Linked DNA regions of Sus scrofa. The protein of the gene in region 7 interacts with the protein of the main gene of each other region in a pairwise test. Links are inferred from orthologs where the notes say so. Each region holds a gene or a part of one and is shown on either strand. Other genes may lie near its edges.

What was found.
Region 1: the proteins of FATE1 (region 7) and BNIP3 interact in binary tests that used the Homo sapiens proteins (3 or more experiments, as listed by UniProt). The two-hybrid records come from large-scale screens. The link is inferred for Sus scrofa from reciprocal best matches to the Homo sapiens genes FATE1 and BNIP3.
Region 2: the proteins of FATE1 (region 7) and bcl-2-like protein 2 interact in binary tests that used the Homo sapiens proteins (3 or more experiments, as listed by UniProt). The two-hybrid records come from large-scale screens. The link is inferred for Sus scrofa from reciprocal best matches to the Homo sapiens genes FATE1 and BCL2L2.
Region 3: the proteins of FATE1 (region 7) and SYNPR interact in binary tests that used the Homo sapiens proteins (3 or more experiments, as listed by UniProt). The link is inferred for Sus scrofa from reciprocal best matches to the Homo sapiens genes FATE1 and SYNPR.
Region 4: the proteins of FATE1 (region 7) and TRAF3IP3 interact in binary tests that used the Homo sapiens proteins (3 or more experiments, as listed by UniProt). The two-hybrid records come from large-scale screens. The link is inferred for Sus scrofa from reciprocal best matches to the Homo sapiens genes FATE1 and TRAF3IP3.
Region 5: the proteins of FATE1 (region 7) and NDUFB11 interact in binary tests that used the Homo sapiens proteins (3 or more experiments, as listed by UniProt). The two-hybrid records come from large-scale screens. The link is inferred for Sus scrofa from reciprocal best matches to the Homo sapiens genes FATE1 and NDUFB11.
Region 6: the proteins of FATE1 (region 7) and CCDC70 interact in binary tests that used the Homo sapiens proteins (3 or more experiments, as listed by UniProt). The two-hybrid records come from large-scale screens. The link is inferred for Sus scrofa from reciprocal best matches to the Homo sapiens genes FATE1 and CCDC70.

The regions. Positions count from the first base shown.
Region 1 is NC_010456.5:140,365,452-140,368,951, forward strand, and holds part of BNIP3 (BCL2/adenovirus E1B 19 kDa protein-interacting protein 3), read right to left. Parts: intron 662-3,500; coding exon 511-661; intron 228-510; coding exon 143-227; intron 1-142. UniProt on the Homo sapiens protein: Apoptosis-inducing protein that can overcome BCL2 suppression. May play a role in repartitioning calcium between the two major intracellular calcium stores in association with BCL2.
Region 2 is NC_010449.5:75,767,944-75,772,188, reverse strand, and holds the start of bcl-2-like protein 2, read left to right. Parts: upstream 1-1,445; 5' UTR 1,446-1,560; exon of another isoform or gene 1,561-1,581; intron 1,582-1,834; exon of another isoform or gene 1,835-1,860; 5' UTR 1,861-1,948; intron 1,949-2,425; 5' UTR 2,426-2,433; coding exon 2,434-2,865; intron 2,866-3,492; coding exon 3,493-3,642; 3' UTR 3,643-4,245. UniProt on the Homo sapiens protein: Promotes cell survival. Blocks dexamethasone-induced apoptosis. Mediates survival of postmitotic Sertoli cells by suppressing death-promoting activity of BAX.
Region 3 is NC_010455.5:45,155,732-45,159,231, reverse strand, and holds part of SYNPR (synaptoporin), read right to left. Parts: intron 974-3,500; coding exon 782-973; intron 1-781. UniProt on the Homo sapiens protein: Intrinsic membrane protein of small synaptic vesicles. Probable vesicular channel protein.
Region 4 is NC_010451.4:133,197,209-133,200,708, reverse strand, and holds part of TRAF3IP3 (TRAF3-interacting JNK-activating modulator), read left to right. Parts: exon of another isoform or gene 1-1; coding exon 2-73; intron 74-3,253; exon of another isoform or gene 3,254-3,307; coding exon 3,308-3,448; intron 3,449-3,500. UniProt on the Homo sapiens protein: Adapter protein that plays essential roles in both innate and adaptive immunity. Plays a crucial role in the regulation of thymocyte development.
Region 5 is NC_010461.5:41,770,679-41,774,838, forward strand, and holds NDUFB11 (NADH dehydrogenase [ubiquinone] 1 beta subcomplex subunit 11, mitochondrial), read right to left. Parts: upstream 2,801-4,160; 5' UTR 2,770-2,800; coding exon 2,563-2,769; exon of another isoform or gene 2,554-2,562; intron 772-2,553; coding exon 448-771; coding exon of another isoform or gene 351-447; 3' UTR 251-350; downstream 1-250. Other genes in the region: RBM10 (RNA-binding protein 10), read left to right, coding at 3,542-3,611. UniProt on the Homo sapiens protein: Accessory subunit of the mitochondrial membrane respiratory chain NADH dehydrogenase (Complex I), that is believed not to be involved in catalysis. Complex I functions in the transfer of electrons from NADH to the respiratory chain.
Region 6 is NC_010453.5:15,976,314-15,979,228, forward strand, and holds CCDC70 (coiled-coil domain-containing protein 70), read right to left. Parts: upstream 1,738-2,915; 5' UTR 1,735-1,737; coding exon 973-1,734; 3' UTR 501-972; downstream 1-500.
Region 7 is NC_010461.5:123,104,667-123,108,885, forward strand, and holds the start of FATE1 (fetal and adult testis-expressed transcript protein homolog), read left to right. Parts: upstream 1-1,419; 5' UTR 1,420-1,484; coding exon 1,485-1,587; intron 1,588-2,527; coding exon 2,528-2,646; intron 2,647-4,219. UniProt on the Homo sapiens protein: Involved in the regulation of endoplasmic reticulum (ER)-mitochondria coupling. Negatively regulates the ER-mitochondria distance and Ca(2+) transfer from ER to mitochondria possibly implicating it in the regulation of apoptosis.

The DNA.
Region 1 (3,500 bases), on a different chromosome or scaffold from region 7:
CAGGAGCCCCTGTGAGGGGCTGAGGACGGCCCCGCCCGCCCCCAGTCCCCGTTTCAGAGGACCCCAAAGCCAGACCCACACGACTCGATGACCCTGCAAACGGCGCAAACAGATCACAAACGTGTGCACCTGCACAGCTCACCTGAGCGCTGTTCTTTTCTCCAACACTGTGTGCGTCTGTCTCAGAAGCTCTGTTCGTGTCCTGCGGCGTCTGCGAGCGAGGCGGGCTGAGCAGAATGACCACAGGACAGAGCGCGCGTTAACCTTCCCCCACGAGAGCAGCCCCCCAGGCCAGGCCAGAGCCGTCCCCAGCACGGGGGCCAGGCCGGAGCGAGCGACCCTCTGTCTTGGAGGAGCTCGGAGGCCGGGCCGTCAGCCCCGAAGCAGGGACCCCACGGACAGCCTGCAGGCACTGCCCCCGCCAGGGTCTGAGGAGGCTGGAAAGGAAGCTCGGGGCTGCGACGGCAGCGACCCAGCAGCTCGCGCTGAGACGCCCGCCTTCCCGCCCACCTGTCGCAGTGAGAGCTCTTGGAGCTGCTCCGTCCAGATTCGTGCTGGGCATCGAGCAGTATCTTCTCCATGTCGCCGTTATAAATAGAAACGGAGTCTGGAACGCTGCTCCCGCTCCCGTTACTGCCAAAGTGCAATTCTACCCAGGAGCCTGATGGGGACAAAAAGAGGGACACGGCTGCAATTTCCTACCCCCAACCAGCGCACCCCTTCCACGCCCAAGACTCCCAGGGAACCGGCCCTGAGCCGGGCAGGAAGACCGTCAGGCCGGCTCCCGTCAGATCGCGGGAGCCGGCCCCGCCTCGCCCTTCCGGGGACCCAAGCGCCCCTGGGGAGAGGGACCCCGCGCGTGCAGCCCCACTGCCCCCAGACGCACTTCGGCGGCTCCAGGGCGCTCGCCGCTCACGGCGGGAGGAAGGCGGGTCAGCGAAATCCTCGGGATTTGCGAGTGAAGGAGAGAGGTTGAAACTGTCACCTGTCACCGACCCCCACCTCCCAGCGTCCCGCTCTGACCTCGAGGCGCTGTCGCGAGCCTCAGAGGCCAGATAAACACACAGCGAATGCAACAGGCGACTGCTGCCGACCCCTGCCGCCAACCCCTGCCAGAGCCGCACGGGCAGTGTCTCCACGGCCAGTCACCAGCGCTCTTCCTCGCCCGAACCGGACCTGACCTCGTTAGAGCCCCACGCAGATGGACCTTTCCAGATGGCACAGGAACAGAGCGCCAAGGTCCCCTGCCCACCTGCGCAGCCCATCCACAGCTTCCGCCCCCGACGCTACCAGCCGGCAGAGCCCCGCCAGCCCCACCACCCGCAGGCCCGGAGGAGCCCCGGGGACACGCGGCTGGGAACGGGGGCGAGTGCCAGGGCTGCGGGCTGGCTCTGCCTCGGCTGCCCGGGGCGACAGCCCTGGACTCCAGGAGGCTCTGAGGGGCCTCACACGCAGATGCAGGGCCCGGCGTGTGGGGCCCACAAGCCCACCGCCTCCGAGGCTGCGGGGCCAACAGGCGCGTCTGGGGGCCGCGCACTTGGTCTCTAAGGGCTGCGGCGGCAGCTTGTGCGCTTTCTCTGCGTGTCTGATCTCGAGTGAGGTTGCGCCGGCCTTCCCGGGATGCTGGCCCCGGGGGCACTTTGCGGAGCTCGCTGCTGGCGTCTGCTCCCTTGCTCTGCGCGGTCCACCCTCCCTCCAGCTCAACACTCCGCCGCCAGGCCTTGCATCAGGCAACGCGTTCTCCTGGGTCTGCCGTCCGGGGTCTTGAGGTGGACGTGACCGATCCGAGTTCCAACGTGCAGCCTCCCGCTCGCCTGAGGTTGTGTCTCGCGCACGATGCACGGGCCTGGACGTGGCCCTGCACGAGTGAGCTGGACGCGGCTGGGATAGTCCCTGTGGCTCTGTGGCCAGGCCAGAGCCCCCTGCGTCCCCCCCTCCCATCCTGCTGCTTATCAGTCAAGCTGGCTGCGCACGGGTCTCCGGGGCCCAGGTCCCCGTGGTGTCGCACGGGGCAGGGGTCGTCGTTAAGAGCACGGAGCCAGCCGGACTCTACCGACAACCGTCACCAGAGCACGGCAGCCACCACGGGCCACCAGGCGTCAGGCCCCATCCATCTGACGGAGCCTGGCCTGCAGCCCGCCCGCAACAGCAGGGGAGCGAATCCAAGCTCCAGGAATACAGCGCGAACGGCCGCCCACTTGGCCGCTAAGAGAACCGTCCATTCCAGGCCATGCGCCCTCGGCTCAGCCTCCAGTGGTTCCGTCCACCGGGCCCGCAGCAGGCGAGCCAGGCTTTGTCTGGGAGCCCAGGACCCACTGGACCAAGGCCCAGGCAGCCCGGCCCTCCGCGTCGGCCGAAGCTGCAGGAAGGACGCCAGGTCTCCCGTCCGCCAAGGACGCTGCCCGCCGTGACGCAGGCCCGGGAGCCCCAGGCCCCGCTGAGAAAGAGGCTCGGGTGTCAGAGCCCTTCCCGCAGGAAGGTGACACCCAGCCAGCCGGCCCGCTCTCCCCATGCGTGGACAGGACCGCGGGGCGCTGCTCCGGGCAGGGTTCCTTTTCTAGGTTCTGCCTTAGGCGCGGGGCCTGGCTGCCAGGTCACGTCCCCTTACGGTGGCTGACGTTGCGAGTTGTGACACAGCGTCTGACGTGACAGTGTCTACACCAACCACCAATGTTCCAACACCCGCTAGCTGTCCAGTGTCCATCCTGACACTACCTGGAGTGCAGACGGTAGACGTCTACCTAGATGGCCCCGAGGGGACACCCAGGCCGCCCGCACTGCCGCCTGGTGGACCGCCAGCTCCCCCCTCCCCCAAGGAACTCACTGGAACAACTCACAGAACCCGGAAAACTGCTTACCCGGCCCCATCCCAGAAAGAACACGACACAGGAACAGCAGCTGGGGCGAGGGTGGGGGGCTTCGGAGCCACGGGCCTCCTTCAAACCTTTTCTCACCCAGTCTCTAGGCTGCCCCCAGGTGGGTGCCCAGTGTCCACCCTCATCTTTGGTCTCTCCCGCCCCCGCCTGAGGCTACCTAGGCCCCCGTCACCCCGTTAGCACGGGCCCCGGTGTCTTCCAAAGGAGCTGCTGGCAGAAGGCGCGCTAGTAACTCTCAGCTGCTCCTGCGGCTCAAGGAAGTCCACCGGTGCCGGGGCTGAGCTCGGGGCCCGGAACCGGGGACAGCGATTCAATACAGGTGTTTCTCAACTGAAATACAAAATACGGGAGTTCCCATCATGGCTCAGTGGTTAACACACCCGACTAGGAGCCATGAGGACACGGGTTCGAGCCCTGGCCTCGCTCAGTGGGTTAAGGATCCGGCGTTGCCATGAGCTGTGGTGGAGGTCGGCAGCTACAGCTGATTTGACCCCTAGCCTGGGAACCTCCATATGCCTCGGGGTGCGGCCCTAAAAAGACCAAAAATAAATTAAATAAGTAAACATCAAGAAATACAAACTTCTCAGTTTCAGGAGTGTCTGTTTATTACACCGGCAGGGTCTG
Region 2 (4,245 bases), on a different chromosome or scaffold from region 7:
ATAGAAATAAAGGGAACCAGCAGGAACGGAGAATTAGGTTACTTTTTCTGGGCCTTTGGTTAGAGAGTCCTCCAGATGGAGTTGAAGGAAGTGCCAGTTAAGAGTTGGTGGGCTCCAGTCAGAACACCTGAGTGTGCCCTCATGTGGATCAGTGATGGTCAGATGGCTTGCACCCCGTCTAAACATATTGCCATATTTATTTTTTTAATTTTTTTATTTAAAAAATTTTTTTTTGTCTTTTTGCCGTTTCTGGGGCAGCTCCCATGGCATGTGGAGGTTCCCAGGCTAGGGATCCAATCAGAGCTGTAGCTGCTGGCCTACACCAGAACCACAGCAACACCAGATCTGGGCCGCGTCTGCAACCTTCACCACGGCCCACGGCAACGGCGGATCCCCAACCCACTGAGCAAGGCCAGGGACTGAACCCGCAACCTCGTGGTTCCTAGTCGGATTCGTTAACCACTGAGCCACGACGGGAACTCCAACATACTGCCATATTTAAATAATAGACATTCATATAGGTGCATATATATATTTACACGTAACCTGAAAGGACAAATATCAGTTTTGACACTGGCAGCCTCCAGGAAGGGAATGGGAATTGTGGAAAAGGCAGAGGGAGGAAGATTGAGGACTTGTATTTTTTTCTCCGTATTTCTATACTGTCTGACTTTTTCATAGAGAGAACATATTCATGTGGCGTTCTTTTGTGGTTGCAGTGGGTTAAGGGTCCAGCACTGTCACTGCAATGGCTTGGGGTGCTGATGTGGTGCAGGTTCAATCCCGGGCCCCAGGAACTTCCACGTGCCAGGGGCACAGCACACACACCCCTCCCCCCAAAAAAGAAAGAAAACAAGTTCATGTGCTGAGTAGAAAGAATTAAACAGAAGATCTGATTACAAAAAAAAAAAAAAAAAAAAGAGAGAGAGAGAGAGAGAGAGAAAATGAAGAAAAGTTACCTGCAGAAACTGCCTGCGATCCAAGACCTGGCTCCTTGGTGCCTGGCTAAAGCCCCAACGCACAAAGAGACAACTGGGTTAAAGTTCCTGGAGAAAAGAGGAAGTGAGGTGTTTGGTATCTGTATCACATCTGCCAGGCCCACAGGGTGAGACACCTGGCAGGCAGTTAGTTCCCATTGGAATGGGAGCTGATCCTCTTTTCTGGCCCGCTGCTTCAGGGCTGGAGAAGTTCAACAAGTGCATGGAACATCAGAGACCTGGAAATGCTGAATTTGCTCTGAGGTTTCTTGAGGCCCTGTCGGCTTCTCTGAGTAGCCTCCAGGCTCAGGAGCCCTGCCCGGGCCCTCAATGCCCTCCTGGCCTGTGCTTCTCAGTCTCCAGCCACCCGCTTTCTTCCTGAGTGGTGGCCTTTCCCAAGCCTGCGTCCCAGCCCCGCCCCTCTCTCTGGACGCATCTCTGGGCCCCATCATCACCCGGCGCCGGGCCCTCCCTCCCGCCCCCCCTTTCTCCTCCCTCCTTCCTTCCCTCCCTTCCTCCCTCTCTCCCTCCCTCCTAGCTCCTGCACCAGGAAACGGCCCGGATCCCGGCAGCGGCCTGACCCGTGAGATCCTTAACCTGGCAGGCAGGCGGGGTTGCAGACTGGCTGAGGGTGGGGGTGAGGGAGGAGCTGGGCCTTTGGGCTGCACTCGGGGGGAGCCAGGAGTAGAGATGGTGTCGGCAGGAAGCCCTTGGCCCTGGGTTTCCCGGGAGGACAGTCATTAAACATGGATTCGGCCACACAGCTGGTAGAGCGTTGGGGGCAGGGCCCTTGTCCCGGGAGCTGCAACCCCAGCCCTTCTCAGCCCGGACCCTGATCCCTGGTCTTTCCCATCTAGCTCTGATCTCCCCCTCCCCTTCCCAGGGCTCCACGCTGGGCAAGAGGATGAAAGGCCCCAGCTGGGGGCTCCTTGCCACCAGCGCTGGGTCCTAAGAGCTGCCATCCAGGCTGGGTGAGTGTCCCCTTCCTTCTCTGTCCTGGGCAACCCTTGGCTTCTCCTTCTTTCCCTTCAGCCCTGTCTCCTCCCCCATCTTGTGCCTCTGTCAGCATCTTCACATCAGGCCTCTGGGGAGGCCCTAAGCCCCTTCCTCTAGCCAAAAAGGTGTATACCGTGGAGAGGGGGCTTGTAGGGATGTCACAGCCCTGCTGTTGTCTTCTTATGGAAAGAATCTAAAAAAGTATTTTAATAATGAAATTTACTTGTTTTACCTTTAATTTGGCATATTATGAGTTTTAAGGGCCAGGCCCTCATGCCCTGACCCCTCACCATGGCTTAATTTCCTTGTTCTTACCTCTCCCAGGCCAGTGGTCTCTGAGATTTCCTCCCCGCTCTCTCCCTGTCTCACTGGGCTGGCCAAACCTGAAATGCCCCCTTCTGAGTCTCTGACCCTATAATCATGCCAGTGTCTTTTGTGTTTGACTCTGACAGCCGCCCGGATGGCGACCCCGGCCTCAGCCCCAGACACACGGGCTCTAGTGGCAGACTTTGTGGGCTATAAGCTGAGGCAGAAGGGTTATGTCTGTGGAGCTGGCCCCGGGGAGGGCCCAGCAGCTGACCCGCTGCACCAAGCCATGCGGGCAGCTGGAGATGAGTTCGAGACCCGCTTCCGGCGCACCTTCTCAGATTTGGCAGCTCAGTTGCATGTGACCCCGGGCTCGGCCCAGCAGCGCTTCACCCAGGTCTCTGATGAACTCTTCCAAGGAGGCCCCAACTGGGGCCGCCTTGTGGCCTTCTTTGTCTTCGGAGCTGCACTGTGTGCTGAGAGTGTCAATAAGGAGATGGAGCCACTCGTGGGACAAGTGCAGGAGTGGATGGTGACCTACCTGGAGACACGGCTGGCCGACTGGATCCACAGCAGTGGGGGCTGGGTAAGAAGCTTCTCAATTGCTGTTCTGCACATCCCTCCAAAAAGCTGGTCTCCAGGGAGAAGATGGGGGCTCTGGCTGGAGCTGGGGGCAGCTGTGCTGAGAATGAGATGTGAGGTCTGAGTCTCCCTATTTGGGTGGAATGGAATGCCCTTGTCTGGGCATCATTGGACTCTGCCCTCCAGGGCTGCCATGCAGTCATCACTGGGTGGGCTCAGGGTCCAAAGCAGAGTACAGAATACCCAGTAGCCAGGTAGTGCCTGCAGGGAAAAGGCATCCAACTGTCAGGAACCTTTTATACCTGAGTGTATGGCATGGGGGGAGGGGGGTCAGGGATCAGGGATGGGTGGTGGTCAGGCGAGCCTTGGCAAAGGAGGCCCGTTCTGAGCAGAGTTTTTGGCCAGGGAAAGGATGGGATTAGCTTGAGGTAGAGAAGGACAAATGAGCCAGGCGCTCATGGGGGATCAGAGGGGCTGGCAGCCAGTAGAGCTTTGGCTGGAGAGGAGCTAGGGGTGGGGTAGTGCTTGCAGTGGATGGAACTGGAACTCTTCCTCTCCTCTTTTCTCCACTCTTTCCTCTCCTGATATCCCTTTCTCCTTCTTTCTCTCCTACTTCCCTTCTCTCCCACAGGCGGAGTTCACAGCTCTATACGGGGACGGGGCCCTGGAGGAGGCGCGGCGTCTGCGGGAGGGGAACTGGGCCTCAGTGAGGACAGTGCTGACGGGGGCCGTGGCACTGGGGGCCCTGGTAACTGTAGGGGCCTTTTTTGCTAGCAAGTGAGAAAGTCCAGGGCCAGGTGGGGCTAGGTGTGGCTGGGGGACAGGAGAGCAGGAACAGAGCAGAGGAATGCCCTTGGAAGAAGCGGGGGGTATGGAGGGGCATGGAACGGGGATGGGAAGGGGCAGGGTAGCGTGTGAGGGAGCGGAGCATGCCAGGCAGGCGGTTGAGAGAGTGAGCTGGAGACATTGTGGAATGTATTTGGAAAGTCTGGGGGCCAGGAGATGGAGTCATTCCAGGGTCAGGGGGAGGTGGGAGGGATCATGCCTATAGGTGTAGGTACAGAAAACTACCTGGAGCTTGATTTGCAGCCCCGAGGCAGCCCCGAGGCAGGTGGACTTGCTTAAGGGGTTGGCGATTTCCACTGAATGAGCGAGATTTGGGGAAAACACTGAGGGCACATCCCTTTGGCATGGGAGCTTGAGGTTTTCAGGGGATAGGGAGAGGGCTGTGACCGTGGGCACTGGGGACACAAGTGTGCATGTGCACGCGTGCTCGTGTGCATGCTGGGCTGCTTGTCTAATCTGGTGGTGGTGGGACTCCTCTAGGAGAAAACATTCCCTCTTGCGGTGGCAAGAACAAGGTGTGCAGCTCTCTGTCCCTCCC
Region 3 (3,500 bases), on a different chromosome or scaffold from region 7:
AAACCAGGAGCATGGAGAATATTAAAAAAATTACCATAACTATTATACGTATTTTTTATACTCGGCATTTCTTTCTGTACACTACTGGGTCCAAGTATTTTTCTCCAGACAGCCAACTGGGTGTATTTTACCTATGCGTGGCTTGAACAATGTTTTCTTCCCAGGAAACTTCTATGCCATCAAATATTCCTTTTAACTTCTGGCAGATTTCAGCCTTAAAGTTCAGATTATGTATCTGCTTCTGGCTTAGAATTCTGACTTGACTGTCATCCAAGCAACAGCTGCCAGTACCTGCTGGGCTCTTATTAAGAACTCTGTAATTGGCAGCATTTAAGTCTATGGGTTCTGACAATAGAAAACTGGAAGGCCCAGGGACTGTCTTGCACAGAGAGTGAACTGTCACCTCTTAGATGGGCACAGTTTCAGAGGCAAAAATTTCCAAGATGACTCTTGAGATGTTTTTCTGATTCCCTTCATTGGCAAACAAAGATTTGGGAGGTTGGAGTTCCCACTGTGGCTCAGCAGATTAAGAAACCAACATAGTGTCTGTGAGGATGAGGGTTTGATCCCTGGCATCACTCAGTGGTTTAAGGGTCCAGTGCTGCCTCAAGCTGTGGCATATTTGCAGATGTGACTCAGATCTGGCATTGCTGCAGCTATGGTGTAGGCTGGCAGCTGTAGCTCTGATTCAACCCCTAGTCTGGGAACATCCATGTGCCACAGGGGTGGCCTTAAAAAAAAAAAAAAAGATTTGGGAGGTGAAATGTAGAGGGCAACGTACCACGGAAGTGTTCAGGCTGGACATCACAGGGCTGTGGACGGCTGTGCACTTGTTGGACGGTTGTTTGCAAGCTGACATCAGTAACAACACTTCTTTGGGATCTGTAGCAACCTTGACGTCAGACAGCCCTTTCGCCCAAGCTGAGGAACCCACCAACCACAAGAATGAAAAGACTACAGTGACGATAAAGTCCTACAGAAAGAGATAAGACAGGAAGAGAAATGTGAATTCTAGAAACAAATAGATGCATTTGTACAACTCTTTGGTTTGCTTTTTGGAAAAGTCCAAGATCCCATAGCACTGGAACCATGCTGAAAAGCGAATAAAAAAGTTTTGTGATTTTTTTTAATATTTCTAGAAAATAAATAATAGCAACAATAATGAATGCTTACTATGCTTCTGGTGATGAGGGGCTACTTCTCATATCCTTCCTTGTGACTCAGAGACTGGGGGTGGGGGTGGGAGTCACCCACACCCAAGACTTCAGCAGACCATGTTCTAGCATAGGACAATTTTTCAGATTTACTGTATTTATGTTTGACAACTATAAAAATGCTGCATACTGTTTACCCAGAATAATAAAAACACTGACTTGGAAAGGAAAATAATAAATTTGACATACCAACAGAAACAGACCTCTCTTTTATTTTAAATGATCAATACCTCACATAGAAAATTTGGCATCTGTTTCTTTCCTACCTAAGGCAGTGTCACATCTCACTTCCTCTGTGAGTCTCCCCTCATGCTATGATTCAATTATTTTTCATCAAGATCTCTTGATCTACACTGAAGGAACTCTTATGCTTTAATATTGTTGTTGTGAATGATTTGTTACTGTGTCTTTTGTGAGAATGTTCTAGAAGGTCCACAGCTAAAAGGGGCTGAATCTTCTGAGCAATTGGTCTTTTTTTATCCAGGGGCCATTGCCAATTATGTAACTCATCAACTGACCATTTTACATTGGCTTTAGAAAATGTAGGGCCAACCTGTTATCTCCTCAAAGGTTTTTTTCTTTCTTTCTTTTTTACTATCCTGGGTATTTTAACCCTACTCCTATTTTTGCTTTTATGCCCTTCCTGCATTTTCTATTGTTGTCTTCATCTTTAATTAATTTCATCTTGAGTTTCATATGTCTCTGTAAGCCATGTGAAAGTGTTTCTGGAATGAGATATAGGTATAAATGAACAGGCAAAAAATACAGTCTCTACAGCTATTTCATTATCTGTAAGGAAATTCGGAATGAAGAAACTCAAGGGGTAGGGTTTGAATTAGAAAATGGAGGAATGGTTGCAAATAAACAAGCCAGGATGACTGTGCCAAACACAACTTTCTCTTCATGTTCAATCTGTACCTATCTCATTCCTTCATTCCTTCAAAGAGTAATTTTTGAGCAATGCATCAGATATTCAGTAAGGTCTTTTGGGGGTTTAAAAATGCACAATCTAGGTTTTACTTTCTTGATTTTACTTATTTGTTAGTAGCCAGTAGATATCCTATAATTCCAACTATGAGTAGCTGGAATTATTTATGCTCATCATAGTTAGAAATACTTTTTTTTTTGTCTTCAAACTGCAAGTACTCTATTTCCACTGCCTTAAGAATTTTGGAAATACTCCTGGAAATCTGACCACCCTTTTAAAAATTAGAGGCTATTAGGATGGGGAAACTTTAAAAGGCTGTTAGGATGGGGAAACCTCTCAACTGGAAACTGAAGAAAATACCACCTCTTTAAAACTTATTTATTGGAGTTCCCATCGTCGCTCAGTGGCCAATGAATCCAACTAGGAACCATGATGTTGCGGGTTCAATTCCTGGCCTCGCTTGGTGGGTTGGGGATCCAGTGTTGCTGTCAGCTGTGGTGTAGGCTGCAGACGCAGCTCGGATCCCACGTTGCTGCGTCTCTGCCAAAGGCTGGCAGCTACAGCTCGATTAGACCTCTAGCCTGGGAACATCAATATGCTGCAGGTGCAGCCCTAGAAAAGGCAAAAAGACAAAAAAAAAAAAAAAACCCAAAAAAAACAAAACCCAAACTTATTAAAATAATAGTAATAATATCTAACATTTATTGAGCTCTTACAAAAAAAACCCCAAACTTATTAAAATAATAGTAATAATATCTAACATTTATTGAGCTCTTGTGTTTTATTTTTCCAAGTTTGCATGAATTAACTGTGGTTTTTTTTTTTTTTTTTTTTGTCTTTTTGCCATTTCTTGGGCTGCTCCTGCAGCATATGGAGGTTCCCAGGCTAGGGGTCTAATCGAAGTTGTAGCCGCCGGCCTATACAACAGCCACAGCAACGCAGGATCCGAGCCGCATCTGCAACCTACACCACAGCTCACGGCAACGCCGGATTCTTAACCCACTGAGCAAAGCCAGGGATCAAACCCGCAACCTCATGGTTCCTAGTCAGATTTGTTAACCACTGAGCCACGACAGGAACTCCGTCTTTTTGCCTTTTCTAGGGCCGCTCCCATGGCATATGAAGGTTCCCAGGCTAGGGGTCTAATTGGAGCTAGCTGCTGGCCTACACCAGAGCCACAGCAACGTGGGATCTGAACTGTGTCTGTGACCTACACCACAGCTCATGGCAACACCAGATCCCTAACCCACTGAGCAAGGCCAGGGATTGAACCTGCAACTTCATGGTTCCTAGTTGTATTCGTTAACCACTGAGCCATGATGGGAACTCCTGAATTAACTGTTTTAATCCTGACAACA
Region 4 (3,500 bases), on a different chromosome or scaffold from region 7:
GGGCCAGCTTAATGAAGACAAATTGAAGGGCAAACTGAGATCCTTAGAAAACCAGCTGTACACCTGTACCCAGGTAAGCATTCTGAAGGACACATCTAGCTCAGGAAACGAGAATTAAATAGGAGAGAACATTTGAACCTCAATCCTACTCTCTAGAAATGTCGCTACTAGGAATTAATGCACCTATTCCTACCCACCCGAACCTGGCTTCATCATTTTTCACTTTAGCCTCCAATTTACCAAACACGATCTCCATCCTCCCCCGCCTTTCTCCCCATGTCTTTCCCTTTGCACCTTGAAAAAAGGAAGCCCAGCACCAAGCACTCTGCCAGCTCCAGGGGAACATTGAGAATTCCTGGGAACGCAGGGAGAAGCCCTTGGCAAAGAGTCAGCCCACCTGGAGAGAACTTCACCGGTCCCAGTTTTTGAACAGATGAGTTAGATATTACAATGAGGACTCGCAAAATGACTTTCATCCCATGAGCAACTTTTTTTTTTTTTTTTTTTTTTGGCTTTTTAGGGCCACACCCACAGCACATGGAGGTTCCCAGCTAGGGGTCTAATTGGAGCTACAGCTGCCAGCCTACACCACAGCCACAGCAACACAGGATCCAAGCCATGTCTGCAACCTACACCACAGCTCACGGCAATGCCAGATCCGTAACCCACTGAGCAAGGCCAGGGATCGAACCCACAACCTCATGGTTCCTAGTCGGATTTGTTTCTGCTGCGCCATGACAGGAACTCCCCATGGGCAACATTTACCTGGCAGCAATTCCTGGGAGAAAGTAAGAGACTGTGCCTCCTAGCTCCTCTGAGGTGTTGTTATCCAGCTCTGGGAATCTCTTGCTTGGCCTGATCTCGAATTATATGAAATGGAAGGAAGTCAGCTTTTACACTCAAGAAGTGATGGATTTCTGACAGGTGAGGAGAAACATCAAATAAGAGAATGAGGAGTTCCCATCGTGGTGCAGTGAAAACGAATCCAACTAGTAACCATGAGGTTGTGGGTTTGATCCCTGGCCTTGCTCAGTGGGTTAAGGATCCGGCGTTGCCATGAGCTGTGGCGCAGGTTGCAGATGAGGCCCGGACCCAGCGTTGCTGTGGCTGTGGTGTAGGCCGTAGCTACAGCTCCGGTTAGACTCCTAGCCTCCATATGCCGCAGGCACAGCCCAAAAAGGACAAAAAGAAAAAAAAAAAAAAAAAAGGAGAGAGAGAGAGAATGAGGTGGACCTGCCAGACTGCTCCTACTTGATGTCAGGGAGGTAAAGCGGCCACGTAGTACAAATTTTGCTGATTACGTAATTTATATAATCTGTGGGTTTGCTGACTCACAACTCCTTTTTTCCGTCATGACCGACTTTGTCAGACTCTTATGACCAAATAATGCCAACCAGACTCATAAGAGACCGACGTATAATCCAGAATGCCAGTCCACTCATTTTCTACGGGGGATACGGCTGGCCAGTGACCAGCATGGTTAAATCCAATAACTTAGACATGCCATGTATGGTCTCAACCAGTAACTCCTGTTTCTGATTTCTAATGAGAGTTCCTGGGACATAAGACCGACTCAACATTTAAATCCAAATTTTCAGATGGTTCCAAAGCTAAAAGGAAACGATTCCACATTGGTCCCTAAATGTGCATTAGTTAGACTATCTCTTAACCAGTCGGGAAATCGATGGTAAAAGCTTCGTGCTTTCCCCCAAACCACAGGGGAAAAAATGAAAAGCATGGGAAGGGTGAGAACTCCAGGGAATTTGCAAAGTTGCTCTTGTATATTTTTTATTTTTTATCTTGAAGCCAGGAGAAATTCTAAAAATGCAAGTGTATTAATTTTTTAAAACTGAGTTTGCTGAAGCTTGTTCGGATCCATGAAGCTATACATATAATTTTATTTTTAAAAAAACACTCCCTGCCTGAAAGGAGTTTACAATCCCTTAAAAGAGACGGGTGAGTCAGTATATTAGAAAGATAGAGATGGGCAGGGGATACCTTGCAACACTGTCTAATCCATAAAGAGTTGGGGGATATGGAGCTCCCCTTGTGGCACAATGGGATCAGTGTGGTGTCTTGGGAGCGTGGGGACGTGGGTTCAATCCCTGGCCCAGCACAGTGGATTAAGGACCTGGCTTAGGTCGCAACTGCTGCTCAGATCTCATCTCTGGCCCGGGAGCTCCATATGCTGTGGGGCAACCAAAAAAAAAAAAAAGAGTTGAGGGATCATGTGGTTAACCATATTTATCAGAATTTATGTGATTCTCGGGCTGTATCTTTTACCCTGGTGAAAGGGTCAGGATGCCCTAGGGAGAAGCAGCTCTATGGGCAAAGGCAGAGGCTGAAAAGCACAGTGCTGGGGTGATGGCCCCGTGGAATCAAAGTCTGGGCTTTAAGTAGGAGCTGTACCAAGGAGTTTGGACCTGATCCTTAAGACACTGAGAGGTTTAAGCAGGTTGTGACAGGATCCAATTTGAGTTTTAGAGAGAATGCTCTAGCTGCAGACTGAGAAGGGTTTGATAGAAGCACGGCCTGAAATAGGGAGACTATACAATCCATAGGATACTGTTATTCGCGTCCGACTAAGGAGGCAGAAGGAGAGAGAGAGAGGCGTGTGCTGTTCAGGAGGTCCACAAAGCTCAATGGCCAACTGATTCCTTGGAGAGAAATCACGGATGATTCCCTGGTTTAGGGTGTGGGAGACTAGGTGATGATGCTGGTCACTGAGACGGGAGCAGGTTTAGAAAGACCATTTCCCTGGAGTGCCCAGGAAACAAATCCCAACTAGTATCCATGAGGACGCAGGTTCAATCCCCGGCCTCGATCAGTGGGTTGAGGATCCGGGGTTGCCATGAGCTGTGATGTAGGTCACAGACACAGCTTGGATCCTGTATTGCTGTGGCTGTGGCACAGACCAGCGGCTGTAGTTCCCATTCAACCCCTAGCCTGGGAACCTCCATTTGCCTCTGGTGTGGCCCTAAAACCAACACCTCCCCCCCCTCCAAAAAAAAGAAAAGAAAGGTGATTTCCCTCTGGAATACTGACTTTCAGGACCCTAGGGAAGGCCTAGGGGCCGATGCCCAGGGCCGATGCCCAGCGTGCCCAGGGCAGTTTGTTATCCCCCCTCACCTCTCACATCACCTGAGGGGCTCTCCCTGCCCACCTCCAACCTGGGAGAAGGGCCACCAGGTTACCAGCATCTCTGCCCTGTGGGCAAGGACTGACTTCTTTTCCCTTCTGCATCCCTGCTCAGGGTTTGGCACACAGACGCTCAATGTGTATTTGTTGAATTGAATCACATTTGCAGAACTACTCCCCCAGGGGAATGAAGAAGGTGATATTAGAGATGGAAGACCAGAAACACAGCTATGAGCAGAAGGCCAAGGAGTCACTGCAGAAAGTGCTGGAGGAGAAAATGAGTGCAGAACAGCAGCTGCAGAGCACACAGGTGAGGGTACCGGGCAGTCCCTGGGGCTGGGAGCCCTGGAGTGGTCTGGGCT
Region 5 (4,160 bases), about 81 Mb from region 7:
TGAGCCTCCAGATGACTCTGGGCCCAGCCACCATCTGACTGCAACCACGCAAGACCCCAAGAAGGACCACCTAGTTGAGCCCAGTCAACCACTGGACCATGAAAGATAATACCAAATTATTGTTTTAAGCCACTAAGTTTTAGGGTGTTTGTCACATGGCAACAGCTAACCTGCATACCTAGAAAAAGCTTTTAAAGCCTGACACCCCCACTCCCACAGCCCCCTCACAACAAAAGCAACACCAGCCAGGCACATTTTCAGTCCCTTTAATTAGGTGCTCTGAGAGAAGGGCAGAATGGCAGACAGGAGATAAAGAAAGAGGTGCTTCTTAAGCCTCTCTCGGCCCCAGGTCAGTCCTCATCCTCCGGCAGCTGGATCTTGTTGGGGTCGAAGCAGTTGGATTCCATGAGGGGGAGGCCGTTGGCCTCTCGGTATTTCACGAGCCTCTCAGCTTCCCGGCGGGCCCACTCCTGCATCCTGGAGGCAGCAGCGTGGGGGTAGACTTGAGGGAGCCTCCATGGACACCAATCCCCATCTTAGCTCCCATTGCTGCACAGGGACAGGATTCCTGACAGTCTCTTTAAAGCTCCACCCCTGCCTCTGCCCCCACCCACCCCACTCTCTTGGACACCCCATGCACCTGTAGTCAGGCAGATAAGCCACAAAGGTGCTGCCAAGGACCAAGACGATGGAGAAGCCAAAGAAGAAGACGACCCGCATGTTCCAGAGGTCCACAATGGGGTCCTTGTCATAACCGTGGGAATCTGGGTTCTGAGGCAAAGAGAAGAAGAGGTCAATGAAGGCTTCCTGCCACTCCACAAAGCAGTATAACCCGATCTCCAATTTCACCTTGGACCAAGCTCCTCCCTCCCTTCCTAAATTCCTCTCTATTCTTAGGATTTGTCAAGCTCCTTCCCACCACAGGGCCTTTGCACTTGCTCTTTCCTCTGCTGGGAAAGCTTTTCCCGCCGACCTAGCTGTGGCTGGATCTGCCTCCTCAATCAAGGTTTTGGCTTCATCATCGCTCCCCTCAGGAGGCATTTCCTAGTCACCTTGTCTATTAAGTTGAGCTAGAGCAAACTGACATTTTTAACAGGTCAAAAATTATTGAATATTGGCAATTTCCTATGGCTCAAACTAATAAAATAACTCCCTACCCCAAGTCACTATCCATTCACTTATCTTGCTTAACAGTCTTTCTAGCATTTACTTGTTTGCCAAAGCAGTATAGCCCCCAAATCCTCTGATCACATTATCTTATATTATTGATTGCATACTTTATATCACTGGGTTTTTTTTCTTTTTTATCTTTTTGCCTTTTCTAGGGCCGCTCCCACGGCATGTGGAGGCTCCCAGGCTAGGGGTCCAATCAGAGCTGTAGCTGCTGGTCTACACCACAGCCACAGCAACTTGGGATCCGAGCCACGTCTTCGACCTACACCACAGCCCACAGCAACACCGGATCCTTAACCCACTGAGTAAGGCCAAGGATCGAACCTGCACCCTCATGGTTCCTAGTCGGATTCGTTAACCACTGAGCCACGACAGGAATTCCTCTATATCACTGTTTTCTAATATTCTATACATTTATTTTCCCTGTTCTCTGCTATCATGTATGCTCTGTGAAAGCAAGGGCTTTATCTAACTCCCATGTGGCTGAATCCCTAGCACCCTGAACTTAGCCTGGCACACAGCAGGCCTTCAATACATATTTACAGAATTAATATATAAATGAATAAGCATCCTACAGAGCCAAGCTCCTCAACCAAAGGTTAGTATTGATGAAGCATCTATCACGTGCCAGGCCTTTTCACAAGCACAAACTGCACAATATCCTGGTAAGGTGGAAAGTGGCAAGAATAATTAACAGCTTCTAATGGTGAGTACTTAATAAGTGCCAATTGCTGTTCTGAGCACTCTGACTCATTTAATTACACGAGGCAGGTGTAATATTTTATTTTTTAGAAAGTGTCCTAATACTTTCCCCATCTTTCAAAGAAACTGAAGCACCAAGGGGTTAAGCTACTCGCCCAAGGTCACATATGTAAGTAACTATCAGGGCCTGTATTCCAACTCAGGCATTCTGATTTCAGTCTCTGCTAACAGGATAGCACAGCAGACCTGATTCTGCCACACATTCAGTTAAGTGAGCTTGGAGGAGTCACTTAACACCTTCATGCTTCAGTTTCCTCATCTGCAGAATGGGTATATTAATAGTACCTACCTCGAAATAGGGCTGTTTTGAGGATTAAATAAGTTAATATTATAAAGTGTTTCGAACACCTGAGCAAGGACCGTATCAGTGTTTAATATTATTGCTGTTATGGTATACTGCTCATTTCAGGTTTGATATCTGTCTGGAAAATAAGGTCAGTCTCGCCTCTGGCCCTGAACCGAAGGTTATCAGGGGACAAAGGAGGAAAAGGAGCTAGAAAGAACTCCCAAATCTTTGAGGATTTTGCCAGCTGCGCAATCCTCAGCCGACTAAGTACGTCCTCTACGGCGCCCCGTCCGCAGGTCCCCGATTGACCCTTGCGGCGTCCCGTTTCCCCTCCCTCTCACCTTCTCATAGAGGTTTTCGTCCTCCGGATCTGGGTCCTCCTGCAAGCGTATAGTCGGTTCCGGCGGCCGCTTTCCCACCAGAGCGGACGGGGCGATCACAGCCCTGGAGGAGCCGGACTCCCAGCGAACACGGGCAGCCGGGAGCCCTCGCGTCGCCGCTGCTGCTAAAAGGCGGCGAGCGCACAAACCTAACACCCCGGCCGCCATGACAGCTCGTTCTGCAGGCTCGCGGGGGCGGGGACGGAAATGTGACTCTGCGCAGCTGCAGTTGGGCCTGAGCGCGAGAATTGTCGCTCCGCCCCCGCCGCACTAAATAGGTCCCGAGTTGGGATTTTGTTTTCAAACGTCCTCTTTCCCTCCCTCTGTCATGGCCTCACGGGAGCAACCAGCTTCCTATCTTCTCGGTCAGGCTGTGGAATTTCTGGCCGAAAAGGCTGCTTATTTTCTTGACGAGAAGAAAACGGTGACACTTGGGTGGATGCAGTCCCCAACCAATCTCGAGGAGAGTTCCCGTGCCCTTTGGCGAGAGGGGCGGAGCTTCCGCTGGTCTTTCATCTTCCTAGGAAGCCGAGCTTCTAAAAAGCGGGCCTCGCCGGATTGGCCAATAGCTACTCTTTTTCTCGACTTGCGGGCGTTCGCACGGGGAGCGGGGTGGTGGCATGCGCTTGCCAATCAGAGCAGGCCAGGGCTGGCCCACGAAGGACGGCGACCAATAGACGGGGCCGGCCAGAGCGCGCTCCCTTAGTAGGTGGATGGTGGTCGAAGCGCCGGCTCCCTTCTCGTCGTCGCCATTTTGTGCTGGTGATCGCGGCCGGCTGGGAGTAGGCGGCAGTGAGTTGCCCGGGGAGGGCAGCGCGCCTGGGCGCTCCTTCCCTCCCCAGTCCTCCGCCCTTCCGCATTCAGCCTCGGACTGGGTCGTTGCGCGGACCGGCTCCGGCTGAGCTGGGAGAGTTGGAGGAGGTGGCGGCGGGCCGAGGTGATGTCCGGGAGCCCTCCCTTGACAGCCCGGGCCGAGAAGGTGAGCGTCGACGCTGGTCGTGGGGGCGGAGGTAAGGGACCGGGGGCGGGGGTGGGGGGGGGAACGCGTAGAGGAGGCGCGAGGGCGAACTGCGGGCGGCAGGTTTGGGTTTTCGTGCAGAACCCCCGATGCTCACACGGTCTGTGCTCGGGAGGGGGTGTCTTTTTTTGTTGTTGTTTTTTGTTTTTCTCCTTTTGAGAGCAGAGGCGCGTGCGCGATTGGGACACAGGATGGGTGCACGCGGGTTGGGGGAAGGGAGGGACGGATGGGAGTGGGTTACTGTGGCTTAGTGTGTCTGCGACGCCGAACTTTATCCGTGGGAGGCGAGTGTCTGCGACTTTGGTTTTTATCTATAGGAAGTGTGCTGTCTGCTCTCCTGTGTGACTTTGGTACTTACCTATCCACGGGGAAGTGTTTGGTGGCTCTGGTCCTTATTCTTGAGTGGGGGAGGAGGGAGAACGTATGACTGGGGTCTCTATCCTCGGATCGTGTGTCCGTAACCCTGGTCCTTATCCATGGGGAGGGGTCCTTATCCCAGAAAGTCTTCTTACAACTGGCCCTAATCCACTTACTGGGTGGG
Region 6 (2,915 bases), on a different chromosome or scaffold from region 7:
GTTAATGACAGTGAGGGCCAGGCCCCCAAAAGGAGAAGCAGGTGTTGGCCTTGGCAGTTCCCACTGCCCACCCGTGAGCTCTTCCCACCAATGTCCATGTAGATGGTCTCAGCCCAGAAGAGAAGCTGGGCACATTAGCATACATTCATTTAATGTACTGCCTCCATGGGCCACTTTAATTTTAAATGAATGGGAAGAAGGAAACACAAAGGAAGGAACTGATAGTGCAAAAAAGCAAGTGCGAATGGGGGTAGCGGGCAGGGAGGCCTCCCTTCCACCTCCCAGAAGGCCCTGCCTGGTCCACAGGCCTCCATCATTGGGGAAGGCAGCGCTTTGTGGGCGGAGCTCTAGAGCCTCAGCCTCCTGCCACGCCCCTTTCTCATGTTACAGAGCCGAGCTTTCGAAGTTTGGGGGAAGCCTGGAGACAGATTCGGGAGCAAGTGGCCCTTCGGGGATGCTGCCTCTGTGTTCTAAAGAGCTGCCAGGTGAGCATCGCCCGCAGATGAATTGTTAGCAGCACTGCAGCCTTTTCTGGAAAGCTGTCAACCCCCTCCAGACCTTCCAGACTGCCCAGTGGAGGGGAAAGGATTGCCCACAGCCTGACAGGCAGAGAGGGCTCTGGCTGGCAGAGTCTGAGCCTCCCCACCCTCACCCCCACCCCCTTTCGGACCCTTTTCAAGAGAGCCCAGGGTCTCCCGCCAACACCCGCCCACACATGCCGGACCAAGCCCTGCAGACCGCAATACAGCCTGGAGGGTGGGATTACGACCTCGGAGAATCACTCAACCTGGGGGGAAATGCAGCTGGCCCTCCTTAAAGATGCTGGCTTTGCAAACCGCTCCTCAGGACTTTATTAGATCTTTTGAAGGCAGGAGTCAAATAAGAGCATATTCTCCTGGGCACACGGAGTGACCCGGGAGGCGAGTCCCGATCCAGCGGTGCGTGGACCCCGCGGCCCTTCGGCTCCTGCGCTCACGCCCTGCGCCGGGGGAAGGCTGGCGACCGGCGGCCTCCGTGGTGGCCACCTTCCAGCATCTGCTCCTCGGCAACTTGGCCGCCGCCCTCCACCCAGAAGGCCTTCTCCTCCTGCCAGAGCGCGTTCTCTTCCTCCCAGAGGGACTTTTTATCCTCCCAGAGCGCCTTCTCCTCCTCCAGAAGGGCCCTCTCCTCGACCCACAGGGCCCTTTCTTCCTCCCACAGGGCCTTGTCCTCCTGAAGAAGGTTGCGGTCTCGTTCCCATAAGGCGTTGTCCTCTTTCCAGAAGGCCTTATCTTCCTTCCAGAAGATTCGGTACTTTTTCCAAAAGGCTTTCTCTTCTTCTCGGAACGATTTCTCCATTTCCCAGAAGGCTCTTTCCTCTTTCCAGAAGGTTTTCTCCTCTTCCCAGAAAGTTCTCTCCTCTTCCCAAAAGCCCAAGATCTGGCCCCTGAAAGTGCAGATCTTGCCTCGGAAAGTCCACATCTCTTCCCTGAAGTCTTCGATTTTCTCACGGAAGTGTTTCATCTCTTCCCGAAACGCCTTTTCTTCCTGCAGCTTGTGGATCAGTTTCTTCCGGCGAAGGCTGGACGAGGACGCCGCCAGGGAGCGGAAGCAGGCAAGCCCCATCCATTTGCTCACCTTGAAGGGAAACATGGTCCTGACCGGCCAGGGTGGCGGGAGGCTGCGCTGGAGGACAGGGCTGCGGGCCGCCTGCAGGTCGGCTGGTCCAACCCTGTGGGGCGCCAGAGAGAGCATGACGGTGAGTAACGCGGCCGGAGGGCAACCCCTGCCTCTGGACCGTTTGACTGGGGGAGTTTTAGCCATTGTTCGCTTTGGCCCTTGGGGGTATTTGTGAGGGACAAGCCTTGGTAGAGACAGATGCCGGCAGGTCATGGCTTTGGGCCGAAGAGAAGGTCGGCACATTCGTGTTCAAAGCCACTAAGAAAATAGATCACAGCCAACCAGGGCGTCAGAACACACAAGTACGACACAGTCACAGCAGAGGTGTGGCACAGTTCGTTTTTACTTTTCAATAATAACGTGCCACAGCCCCAAAGTGACTTGTTTGTGTTAAATCAACCAGAATACATCTGAGGTTTGGGCTTTCTCACTGGGGGACTGCTCATCACCCTCTGGTGAGTGTGCTCACAGCGGGGGCTGCACGTGGGCATGGTTGCTCTTACAAGCCACTTGGGTGGGTGAGACCCACTACCTGGAGGGGCCGATTTTGGAAGAAGAATTTATTTTGGGAACAGAACCAAAAGGTGAAAGAGGACACTGAATGTTGACTAGGATGTGGGAAAGAGCAAGTCTCACCCGAGATCCAGTCATATTGAGCAATAATGAACACATTATGATCCAGCAGCTCCATTCCCAGATCCAAACCCTGAGGAAACTTAGGAATTGTGTTCAGGTGACACATACAGGAATATTCAAGCAGTGCTGTTCACAACAGCTCAACGCTGCCAGGCAGTCCAACAACCATCACAATAGGATGGAGTTCAGCTGTGGTGGTTTATTCATGGAATGCAGAGCACAGCTCTGGGCAGCGAGGTGGAGGGATCTTGTAAAAGTAACATTGAAAGAAAGAAGCAGGATCAAAGACTTTGAAAGAGAAACTTTCAAGACAGGAAAAGTTAAACTATTGTTTAGGGAAATATACTTAGGTGATAACATCTGAGTCCCATCAAGTGAAAGTAGTATTTACTTGTGCGTGAGGGACGGGGTTGGGAGGGAGGATACTGAGGGTTGTGATTGGGTGAGGAGGAGGGGCTTCAGAGGGGCTGGTAGAAATCCGTTTCTTTACTTGATGGCAGGTGCATGCGTGGTCCTTATAAAAAAAAAAAGTGCTAAGTTCGAGTTCCCATTGTGGTGCAGCAGAAACGAATCTGACTAGGAGCCATGAGGTTGTGGGTTTGATCCCTGGCCTTGCTCAG
Region 7 (4,219 bases):
AAAAAAAAAAAAAAAAAAATTGTGGTTTATTTGAGATTCCAAATCAATTGGCATCCCCAGCCTGCCAGAAACCCACAGCTCCTGCATCCCAGGCTCCTAGGTCCTGCAGAGTGCACTTCTCTGTTCGTAAGGTGGCCTCCAGGAGGCTTGGATTTCATCGTAGCTGCTCTGTTGGAGCCGGGAGGCACTTCTCCAGGGCCCTCAGGAATGCAGGCAGGGCCTTTGTCCGCTCCGACCTGATCCTATCTGATCCAGAGAGCTTGCTCCCCACGCTGGACAGATGGGGCTGGGGAGGGGGTCAGGCAGCCCAGGTCTTGCCACCCTCTCTAAACGAGTCTGGCCCCTCCCTTTCCTCTCCCTGCCCTTTCCTTCCTCCCTTCCTCTCCCCCTCCCCTCTTCCTCCTTGGAGCTCGCTGGGTTTCTTTAACAAGATAGCCTCCTCTTCCCCCAGGGGCTTGGGGGCTCATCGTTGGTGGTTGCGTCAGGCAGGGGTCTCCAGAGAAATGGAGGCAATAGGATACATATATGTGTATGTGTGTGTACATATGCATGTGGGTGTGAGTGTCTGGAAAATTTTATCTTAAGAAATTTGCTCATGCCATTGTGAGGCTAGCAAGGCCAAAATATGCAGGGCAGTTCAGCGCATTGGAATCTTCAGGGTGGATGCTGCAGTCTTGAGCAGAATTAATTCTCTGGGAGACCTCTTTTCTCTTAAGGTCTTCAACTGATTGGACGAGGCCTACCCACACCATCGAGGATTAGGCCCATCTTTTACTTCAAGCCCGCTGATTGTAGGTATGGACAACAGCTACAAAAGACTTTGATAGCAACACATAGACTAGTGCTTGATGGAATAACTGGGCTCTAGGGGCTGTAGGCAGGTCCCTACTCTCTTGCCTTCCCTCCTTTGGCCCTAAGGGTTCCTGTGCAGTCTGACCCAGGGCCTCAAAAGGCCATCTGCCCTGCCTGGGAACTCTGGACTGGAGGGGAGGCAGGGCATGCTCTACAGAAGATGCCTTCTGAGGGGGGTGGATTACTGGCCAGAGACGGCCTTGCAGGAGCCATGACAGACCCGGGATGTAACTTTGCTTTGGCCAAAAACTGGCTCTGGGGTACTGACCCCCCCCCCACCTCTTTCTAGAATTGATGCAGCGTGGAGCCTGCCCGTGCCCCTGTGGGACCAAATTGGGTGGCCCAAGAACCAGGGAGGTTCTCACAGACAAATGTTCCAAGCCTTATCTCTTCCCCTAAGTTACTTACAGAGTAGCAGGGAACAAAGCCTCGAACCCAGCCAGCAAGATACAGCAGGAACAGGAGGTGCTGGGTCCAAGGCCTGAGTGCAGAGGGGGAGTCTGGCTCCACCCCCATGTCCAGATATATCCTTGAGCTCCCACCCGTCAAAGAGCTGATTTTCCCAGAGCGTCCTCCGTGCTCTGCTCTCTGTGCATCCTTGGCCACCGCTTACAAGTGAAGAGCTGGCTGTGATGGCAGGAGGCTCCACTAACACCAAGAAGATAGAAATGTCCTTGGCTGAAGAGCTGGTTCCTAAAAGCCAGGAGCCTAGCCGCGAGCAAGTGCTGATAGCAGGTGAGGAGCCCCTGAAATGGACCTTCCCTTGAGTGCCTGCACCTGTGTGTGTGTGTGTGTGTGTGTGTGTATGTGTGTGTGTGTGAGTGTGTGTGTGGGAAACTGTGCATGAGTGGCTTGGCAGATACTCATATCTGCATGTATGTTGATGCATGGATTGGGGGTACGTGTGTGGGTGGCCTTGGTTCACGTACACATATATTTCTGGCTTGAGTGACAGGGGAGTTGGAGAGAAAGGGATTGATGATATGAGGGAGGTGTCTATTGCAAAACATTCCCAAGGCTCAGTTTACAAGATCAATCAAATGATTTCTCTCTCCTAACTCTCCAATACCTTCTCCTGCCTTTTAGAGTAAAATCCAAAGTCTTTACCATGATCTACAAGATCTGATCAAGGTCACCTCCTCCATGTATTTCCTGCTGTTTCCTGCCTATGTGGCCTGCTGGCCTACTGTACATCCCAAGATTGTTTCTGCCTCACAGCCCTTGTGCTATAGCTGTTCCATATACCTTGCAGGCTTCTCTAGATTTTTCAGGGATGGACTCTTTCAGGTCTGTGTCGTAGTGTTGTTCCTGACTTTTCTAGACGTAGCCCCTTCTTTCTGTCTTGTTTTTATTGATCTGAATCTACATGGACAGAGTATTTTCTGCCACCCTCATTCTCCCTAGAAATACACGGTCAGTCTCCTGATTGCTGTCATCTTATCTCCTGGCCGTTGTCCTCTCTTTAGTCATGTAGCCCAGAGCTTTATGCTCGGTAAATACCTGCTACATCTTGAATGGATGAAGAAACTGAGACATGGGTTTGGCCAGTGGATATCAGTGAATGGGTGTTTGGTGATTCCTGAGAAGTTCTTGTCCCTTTTCCGGTGTGTCCTGTGCCCATGAAGCTTTGGTATAGCTGTATGTGTGTTCCTGGGACCTCCATTTTTCTCCCTAGAAATGTTGGAGCATGGAATCCGGTCCCTGGGTGCTTCTCAGAGCCGTCAGAAGTTGGATTCAAAGATTTCCGATTCTGCTGCAGCTTGGAATTTGGCTGCCAACAAGTCCAAGAAAACGGTACTATATGGGGACCTTGGTACATGGTTGGGTTTGAGAGTAGCAGCTATAGGGGATCTAAGTCTGAAGATGGTGAGGTCAAGCAAGGCCAGATGTTGAATTAGGGGTGAGAGAGGAAGCTCCTGTGCAGTAGGCAGGGAAATGAGGGCCACATGGTCCAACAAGAGGTCAGGACTATTTATTGTTAGGCTAGGAATTCAGTATTGAAAGTACAGAATGCTGAATTACACATTGCTTGGGGAGTACACATATACCGTATTCTGTGCAACTCTAAAGTGTGTGAAATAACACTTTCTTTTATTAATAAATAAATACATCTGTATTTATCACCACATATGTATATCTATATATCTGTATTTTCCCAATATATCTTATATTTTGTTTTTATTCCTGTATATAAATGCATTTCTATGTAGAAGTATATAAAATATAAAAATATATAAGCATATACAAATGAGATATACGTACAAATAAACATATGTACATCTGTATATCTTAGGGATGGGACAAGACTCAGGCAAGTGAGATTGCTATGCTCCATGGCCATTAGGAAATCCAGTCATTTGCATCTGAGCAGTTTGTAGCCAATTCTTTAAGCTACACTCCATATGAGTGAGGGAATGTTCTCGAAAAAATGGTGCTTCTACTGTTGCAAAGGATACTGGGAAAAGGCAGCCATTTTGGAGCAGCTCTAGGGAATGAAGTGAGTCCTTGAGTGCCATCATTTTGTAGCCAGTCCTTTCAGCTACATTCACCTCCGGTGGGGGAAAGCTTTAGAAATATGGTGGCTATATTGTTGCAAAAGTTACTTGGAAAAGGCAACCAGGTTGCAGAAGAGGACAACCGGCCTGTTGATGGGGATCATGTGAGTCTCATGCTCTGTAGCCAATCCTTTAAGCTACTTTCACTGTAGTTGAGTGAAAGTTTTAGAAACCTGATTTTTAGACTCTGGAAATGGTTACTGAGGGAAGGCAACCTGGTTGGAGAGGGAGGGAGGCTTGATGTTCTAGAAAATCACCTGAGTCCCATTGTTCTGCAGTGCATCTTAAGCCTCGTTCACCTTCTGAGGAAACGTTCTAGGAAAAATGGTGGCCATTTTAGGGAGGGGGACGCGTGACTCCTCTAGAAAAATCACTGGAGTCCTTGTTGTTTGGCTGATTCTGCCAGCTGCATTCACCTTGGATGAGGGCAATTTTTAGAAACACGACTGTTAAACTGTTGCAAATGCTATCCGGCAAAGGCGGCCCCATTGGGGAGGAAGGAGATCTGAGTCTTCTAGGGAATGGGGTATAATAAATACGGAACTGATTCCAGCCACAAATGAATAAAGATAAAAAGAAGTCCCAGGTCACAGACCTTTGGGAATGAAAAGAAGCCATAAACGTTGAATTGGCTTCAGGTGTTCAAAGGCTGAAGCCACATCAAGTGGCTCCACTAGCTCAGGCTTCAGTAAGCTACGCATGCCCTGAAACTGAGGTGGGATGGGATTGGGGAGGGGCGGTTGAGGGAATTAGTTCATCTCTGATGAATTAATATTACCTCTTCAAACCAAAGGAGTACACTTTTAACAAAT